Mus musculus: one gene and its partner. The protein of the gene in region 1 interacts with the protein of each later gene in a pairwise test. Links are inferred from orthologs where the notes say so. Each region holds a gene or a part of one and is shown in the gene's direction. Other genes may lie near its edges.

What was found.
Region 2: the proteins of Bcar1 (region 1) and Nphp1 interact in a two-hybrid assay, tested with the Homo sapiens proteins (2 studies listed by BioGRID). The link is inferred for Mus musculus from reciprocal best matches to the Homo sapiens genes BCAR1 and NPHP1.

The regions. Positions count from the first base shown.
Region 1 is NC_000074.6:111,719,813-111,723,370, reverse strand, and holds part of Bcar1 (breast cancer anti-estrogen resistance protein 1), read left to right. Parts: intron 1-2,039; coding exon 2,040-2,672; intron 2,673-3,558. UniProt on the Homo sapiens protein: Docking protein which plays a central coordinating role for tyrosine kinase-based signaling related to cell adhesion. Implicated in induction of cell migration and cell branching. Involved in the BCAR3-mediated inhibition of TGFB signaling.
Region 2 is NC_000068.7:127,786,090-127,790,373, reverse strand, and holds the start of Nphp1 (nephrocystin-1), read left to right. Parts: upstream 1-1,482; 5' UTR 1,483-1,519; coding exon 1,520-1,588; intron 1,589-4,284. UniProt on the Homo sapiens protein: Together with BCAR1 it may play a role in the control of epithelial cell polarity. Involved in the organization of apical junctions in kidney cells together with NPHP4 and RPGRIP1L/NPHP8. Does not seem to be strictly required for ciliogenesis.

The DNA.
Region 1 (3,558 bases):
ATCAGAGTTGCTGCTCCTATGCTTAGGAACAGGGCAGTGGGGTTTTCCTGAGCACAGTAAGCCCTAGAGTAGCTGAGTAGGTCTGACACTCCAGATTGCTACCAACTAACTAGCAAGCAAGAAGCACATGCATGGTGGATGCACTGGTCCCAGGGCAGTGGAGTGGAGTAGCAAGAGCTTTCAATATGCTTCTTAGAATTGCCTGTTCTTTCTGGAATTTTTTATTTAATAGTTTTGTGCCATGGTTGACCATAGGTAACTAATGAAAGCCATGGAAAGTGGAACCATGAATGATGGGCAGGTGGCTGTCCTGAGAGAATGTAAGACACTGACCTCCCATTACAGAGGCAGGGCACCCCACCCGGAGCTTGGTGTGGTTTTTCCTTCTGCTCAAGTTTTTACTGGAGTAATAAAAACATTTTGTCCTCTCCAGTCTTGTGCAAGGTCTATTGTTCTATGCATGTTGTGACGTTTTCATCAGTTCTTGATTCTTTTATGAAGATGATCACATGGTCTGCAGATGATGAGATATGTGTATTCCTCTGCCACCCATCATTTTTTTCCTCTGGAAGAATTGCAATACCCTGGACACAAGGGTCTGAACCTTGGCGCTGGAGTGGGAAGAACACCTTGCTGCTCAGGCTAAGGGACTTTCTCCCCACATCTGAGTTTCTCCATTCGTTCTTTTTTTTAATCCTCAGTGTTTTTATCTTAAACTGTGGCCGGGCAGTGGTGGCACACACCTTTAATCCCAGCACTCCGGAGGCAGAGGCAGGTGGATCTCTGTGAATTTGAGGCCAGCCTGGTCTATAAAGCAAGTTCTAGGATAGCCAAGGCCGTACAAAGAAACCCTGTCTTGAAAAATAAAGGGAGAGAAAGAGACAGAGAAAGGAAGAAAGAAGAAAATAAAGGAAACTGGGTAGTTTTTTTGTTTTTTTGTTTTTTGTTTTGTCAGTTTGTTTCTCAACTCTACTGAACTGTGTTCATTGGCAGCCTAGTAGATGAATTGCCATATTCTTTTTTTTTTTTCCATTTTTTATTAGGTATTTAGCTCATTTACATTTCCAATGCTATACCAAAAGTCCCCCATACCCACCCACTCCCCCTTTTTGGCCCTGGCGTTCCCCTGTACTGGGGCAGATAAAGTTTGCGTGTCCAATGGGCCTCTCTTTCCAGTGATGGCCGACTAGGCCATCTTTTGATGAATTGCCATATTCTTAACCTGTCACATGACTTCAGACCTCAGGAATATTTTAAAGATTTTATTTTATTTAAAAATGTGTGGTGTGTATGCTGTGTCTGCATATATGTGTGAGTATAGGTGCCTAAAGAGTCCAGAAGAGTGTGTTGGATCAGAGTCCAGAAGAGTGTGTTGGGTCAGAGTCCAGAAGAGTGTGTTGGGTCAGAGTCCAGAAGAGTGTGTTGGGTCAGAGTCCAGAAGAGTGTGTTGGATCAGAGTCCAGAAGAGTGTGTTGGATCAGAGTCCAGAAGAGTGTGTTGGGTCAGAGTCCAGAAGAGTGTGTTGGGTCAGAGTCCAGAAGAGTGTGTTGGGTCAGAGTCCAGAAGAGTGTGTTGGGTCAGAGTCCAGAAGAGTGTGTTGGGTCAGAGTCCAGAAGAGTGTGTTGGGTCAGAGTCCGTTAGAGAGTGTTGGGTCCCCTGGACCTGGGCTGTGAGCATCCACTGTTAATGCTGGAGACCAACGTCAGCTCCTCCGCCATAGCAGGAGGCTCCCTCTTACCTGCTGAGCCACCTCTCCAGGGATGGTTTTTAGTAACACATTGAGGCCATCTCTGAAGTGCTGGTGGCAGGTGCTGCCTTTGCACATTGGAGGGGCCCCAGCTCAGCTGAAAGATTGACTGGGGTCAACTCCACTTTGCTCCTGATGATGGACAGGACAAAGGTCCCCTGCTATTGCCAGATGTGACCTAGTCCCCTTTGAAAGCCAAAACTGGTGCTAACTGATTTCTAGAGTGGGTGGAGCTGGTGAGATCTGTGCCCGTCCTCCTACCTTCATGACCACCTGTGTCTTCTCTCCCCAGAACGTGCTGGCCAAAGCCCTCTATGACAATGTTGCTGAATCCCCGGATGAGCTCTCCTTCCGAAAGGGTGACATCATGACAGTGCTCGAGCGGGACACTCAGGGCCTGGATGGCTGGTGGCTCTGCTCACTGCATGGGCGCCAGGGCATTGTGCCTGGTAACCGCCTCAAGATTCTGGTTGGCATGTATGATAAGAAGCCAGTAGGACCTGGACCAGGCCCACCTGCCACCCCACCCCAGCCCCAGCCCAGCCTTCCCCAGGGCGTCCATGCTCCGGTACCTCCAGCTTCCCAGTACAGTCCCATGCTCCCCACTGCGTACCAGCCCCAGTCTGACAATGTGTACCTGGTACCCACTCCCAGCAAGACTCAGCAAGGTCTCTACCAAGCCCCTGGGCCCAACCCACAGTTCCAGTCACCCCCAGCCAAACAGACGTCCACATTCTCCAAGCAAACACCTCATCACTCATTTCCCAGCCCAGCCACGGACCTTTACCAGGTGCCCCCAGGGCCTGGAAGTCCAGCCCAGGACATTTATCAGGTGCCACCTTCCGCTGGCATAGGGCATGACATCTACCAAGTTCCTCCATCTCTGGACACTCGCGGATGGGAGGGAACAAAGCCACCGGCAAAGGTAAGGCCAACCTGGTAGAGCTGGAACCCCCTGGGGTCAGCCTAGGGACCTGGCCACCACAGTGCCCACACTCTAGTATCATTATGTATTTGGTCTGAGGTCCAGGAGGGAGGTATCTGGACAAATGTCTCCATTTATTTGATGCAGGTGGGTGAGTAGGGACACCAAGGTGGCCATAGAGGAGGAGGAAGTCTTCAGTAGGCTGCCCTGAAATGGAAAAGGTTAGTCACAGGCTACAAGACAGTCTCTCTCAGGGCCTGATAGCTGAACCTGAAGGGGAGGAGCTCGGGAGGAGGAGCCTGCACAGCCACATTGAGGTCAGCTTACTCTGGCGTGAGTGGAAATATGATGTGAACATAAAGCCTGTGGGTGGGCCAGGAAAAGCCTCAGCATGACAGCACAGGGAGAGCTGAGAAGAGCAAGGCATCTCCTCTTGGAAATTGCATCAGAGGCTGGGACCAGAGAGACTGCCCACTTCCTAAGGAGCTGTCTTGAGGGTAGTTATGTCACTCGGTTGCCTTTGTCCCACCCAGCTGCCTGGGAGGCGAGGTGTGAACCTTGTCTGGTGTATGTCACTTAAAGGGACTAAATGAGAACCGAGGATCATGCCCCAGAGGCTCTGGTAGAGGCAGCCGACTGTGGTGGGCACAGCAGCACATGCTCAGCTAAGGCAGTTTCGTGTTCTGATGATGTCTCGTCCAGAGCCACCTATGTCTGCTGAGACATTGGCCTCGTGCATGCTCAGTTATGGCACTGAGCCTTTGTCTTCAAAGCCACAGAGGGCCAAGGTGAAAACTTAACTGATACCAGCTAGAAAGCAGGTAGTATCGCCCCATGCCTGCCCACAGAGACGCTCGGCATCTAACTGGCCTGAGCAGGCCTGCAG
Region 2 (4,284 bases), on another chromosome or scaffold:
ACGGAGCCATGTCAGCAGCCCTCGTCTCATTGCTTAAGTGCAGCATCCGGCTATGTTCATCCTTTTCTAAGTCACTTCTAGCATCCTGCTCTAAACATGTAGGTGCCCTATGCCCTTGCTCTCTACTACTACTACCTGTTTGTATGTCCTGTGTGTCCCTAGCTTTGTAGTGGACCATTCCCCTGGACATTTCTTTTCCTTCTACCCTCCTACTTAACTATATGAAGTTCCCTCTGATAAGTTATTTCTCCACCGGTGAAATGAGCCAATTCAAGCCAGATTAGTGAGTTCAATGACCCAAAGGACCAAGGCCAGAGAAATGACAGTAGGAAGAGAGAAGTTGGGGAGGGGAAAGAGAAAGAGAAAGGTTGCCGGTAGAGGGAGAGACCAAAACCTCTGGATTACTTAGGGAAGAGCCTCAGGGGGGAAGGTCAGACCAGCACCTGGGCTGTAAAGTTTAAGGGTCAGGGTATGTTCGATAAGGGCTGAGGGATGCTGGAAGAATCTGGAGACCCGGTCTGCTTTGATATGTAAAATACGCACTTCAGTTCCTTCCCAGGTTTCCCTGAAGTAAGTTCAGTGACCAGTGTTCTTGGAGAACAAGGCAGGGGTTTCGTGGTCCCTGGTTTCCCCGTCCGAAACCAAATACTCTCCTCCCCCCCCATCCCCCCACCAGAAAAGTCTTCCATGGACACGGTACTTTGCCCATTGAAATTGGGAGTCAGGAGTCACAATAATAGATACCTTGGCAATAGTATACCAGCTCTATCCAGTGGTGAGCTTGGACCATCACCATTCTTAAATCCAAGGTTGCTGTCGAGTTTGGGTATTGGATTTAGAGGGCTGTCTCCTGAGAGTGAAAAGAAAACTGGGGCTCTTGAGAAATCTATTTGCCCGCAGGCTTGTCCCACATGGCAGAATCAGCACCCCCAAAGAATTGAGGATTTACCACATGAAAATTTTCGAGAGACACTTCAGCAATACCCCCAAATGGCAAGATTTTAAAACCGTCTCTGGGCCAAGTGTGATAGCACATACGTTTAAGCCCAGTACTAGGGAGGCAGAGAGGCCCGCGGATTTCTGTGAATTCAGGGCTACACCATGAGACTAACAATAAAACCACCTTCAGAGTGAACGTGCAGCGAAATCGAGTCCCACAAATGCCAAGGGAAAGCTCTCATAGCTAAGGTTTTCCATACTAGAACTATTTTTGAAGATTAGTTTCGCAGACCCGGCTTCAGAAAGCTGTGTAGAACAGAGCACCGCACGGTGTGAGGTCGTGATAGTTATGAGACCTGCAGTCAGGGACTCCCGGGGACCTCTACTACTATCCCTAGGAATCCAGAGGAAAGGAAAGGACTTTTTTTTTTTTTTTTTTTTTTTTTTGCAAAGCCTAAACCGACCGTTTAGTGCAACCTGTGGCACGGGGTTGTGGCGCCCGCTGATAGCGTCATCTTGCTGAGCCCTAGCTTTGGTTTCCCTGACAACCGGCGCGGTCCCGCCGGCGGCGGCTAGGCCGATGCTCGCCCGGCGGCCGCGGGACCCGCTGCAGGCGCTGAGGCGCCGCGGGCAGGAGCTGAAGCTGCAGGTAGGTCCGGGGTAGAGGGTCCCACATCCCAGCTCCTCACCGGGAGCCAAGCGCCGGGTTCTAACCCGGGGCCCCCGCCGTAGATAAAACCTCCAGAAAGCCTTGCGGGTCAACTAAGAATTCGGTCTAACGACTCACCAACCCTCAACACTCCTCATCCCTCAGGCCCTTGTCTAAACTAGCCAGACCCACCCAGCCCAGCGCCCCTCTCCTTTGAAATTCATCACTTTCTCAAAGTGTAACAGGTGTCAACGTATAGTCTTAATAAACTAACCAAGGACAGATTAGTAATTTCAGAAAAGTTAATTTCAAAGATGATCAAACACAAAAGATCACAAAGATTGTAAGTCACAACGCACAGTGCATGGAAGACGTGATGAAACAGGCGATGTATAAGCTATAGTGTATGAGCTACAGCATTTCTGGACAGCAGTTTGACAAGATATAGCAAACATTGATCCTCCTAGGCTGGTTGATACATTTCCAGGAATCTACCACTTGTAATAATTTTCAATTTGGGCAGAGATGCTTATTATAATAAAAGAAACTGGATATGAATAAGTGATCAATATTAGAGGGTGGATAAACTAACCATAAATTTATTATTGTTCCATAGGGCTCCTCAGTTCTTGTCTTGAGGAAAGAGTCTTAGTGGCAGGATACAAAACTTAAAACAGAAGTTTATATAGCAAAGCAAAGCGTACCCTCCAGAGAGACAGGAGTGGGCTGCAGGAGCCGGAGGAGCCTGGGAGGTCTCCCAATGTACATTTTAAACAAGTTTTAATCGATATTGACATGAGTGTGTATCCCTCTGTTGGTGATCTTGAAGTACCCATGTATGGGGACAGCAAATGTCAAAATTACAACGTAAGCAATATAATGAAGTGGAGTCTTTTGAGGATGCAGCCCTTTTATACAAGTGTGACAACTGAGTGTTCTTGCCTCCTTAGTTCTAACAGGAACAATGTAACTTCAGCTTCAAGAGTGTTTAACCACAAAGGACTGTCAGGAGACACAGCTACCAAGACAGGGAGGTGGTTTTCCTAGGTGATGTCATTTGTAATTCCTTACCTACCAGTATCATCTGTTGGGATCTGATGGTACTATGAAGAGATTTTTGCTAGAGCTTTTGGTGTTAGGGGGTAAAGAATTGTGGTAAGACATCAAGTTAGAAAAGGCGTGTAAGGACGTGGCTCCGTGGTTGAGAGCACTGGCTTCTCTTCCAGAGGTCACTAGTACAGTTCCCAGCACCCACATGGTGGCTCATAGTTGTCTAACTCCTGGGGCCCTGATGCCTGATTCTGGCCTCCAGGCACCAGGCCAGCATGTGATGCACAGACATGCAGGCAAGCAAAGTATTCATATACATATAAAAGAATGCAAAGTGCAATACATACTATTTCAATAATATTTGTTTTACATCGTGTATATAAAAAGATGTAGGGGGAAATCAGGGCGGGCTAGAGTGTACAGCAAACTGCAAATGATTCTTGTTTGCCTTTATGTGTTTTTTTTTTCTCAAGACACTGAATTCCTATTACTCTTAAGCATAGCCACAGGGAAAATTATGTAATTATAATCTCAAAAAAAAAGAGGTAACAAATAGCCGTTACTGGATTGTTCATTTGTTTTTCTGAAATTCTTTTTTTTTTCCATTTTTTATTAGGTATTTAGCTCATTTACATTTCCAATGCTATACCAAAAGTTCCCCATACCCACCCACCCCCACTCCCCTACCCACCCACTCCCCCTTTTTGGCCCTGGCGTTCCCCTGTACTGGGGCATATAAAGTTTGCAAGTCCAATGGGCCTCTCTTTGCAGTGATGGCCGACTAGGCCATCTTTTGATACATATGCAGCTAGAGACAAGAGCTCCGGGGTACTGCTTAGTTCATATTGTTGTTCCACCTATAGGGTTGCAGTTCCCTTTAGTTCCTTGGGTGCTTTCTCTAGTTCCTCCATTGGGGGCCCTGTGATCCATTCAATAGCTGACTGTGTTTTCTGAAATTCTTAATTTATCTTAGACAGGCTCCAACTATGTGGCTCTGACTAGTCTTGCACTTAATAAGTGGACCAGTTTGGCCTTGAGCTCACAGAGATCCTCCTGCATGCTGGCATTAAAGGTATGGACCACCATGCCCAGCTAGTTCACTTTTTAAATATGTGATCTAGCACCACATATTTTTTTCCACTAAATAACTTATTTAATAATCTTTAACAGATTAAGAGATTTCCTAGGCCAGGCATGGTGGCACAACGCCTTTAATCCCAGCACTTGGGAGGCAGAGGCCAGCTTGGTCTACAGAGTGAGTTCCAGGACAGCCAGGGCTATACAGAGAAACCCTGTCTCGAAAAACAGAGAGAGAGAGAGAGAGAGAGAGAGAGAGAGAGAGAGAGAGAGAGAGAGAGATGTTTATATGTTATCCAGTTTTGGATTTTTGTTTTAAAAATACAAAGTTTTGTGTTTTCATCATAAATAAGTGATACTTTTGAGACGCTAGATATGATTAACCTGGATTTAAATCATTAAATATGCTTACTTGTATCCAAACATCATCCTTAAATATGTACTGTTTCTACTATTGAGGTGGTGGGATCTAGGGGAGTGGAGCCAATCTATGAGGTGGACGACAGAGGGGAGGCGCAGAGGCAGGAGAGACAGAGTGGGTCAGTGAGGGAAAGTGGGCATAGAGTTAA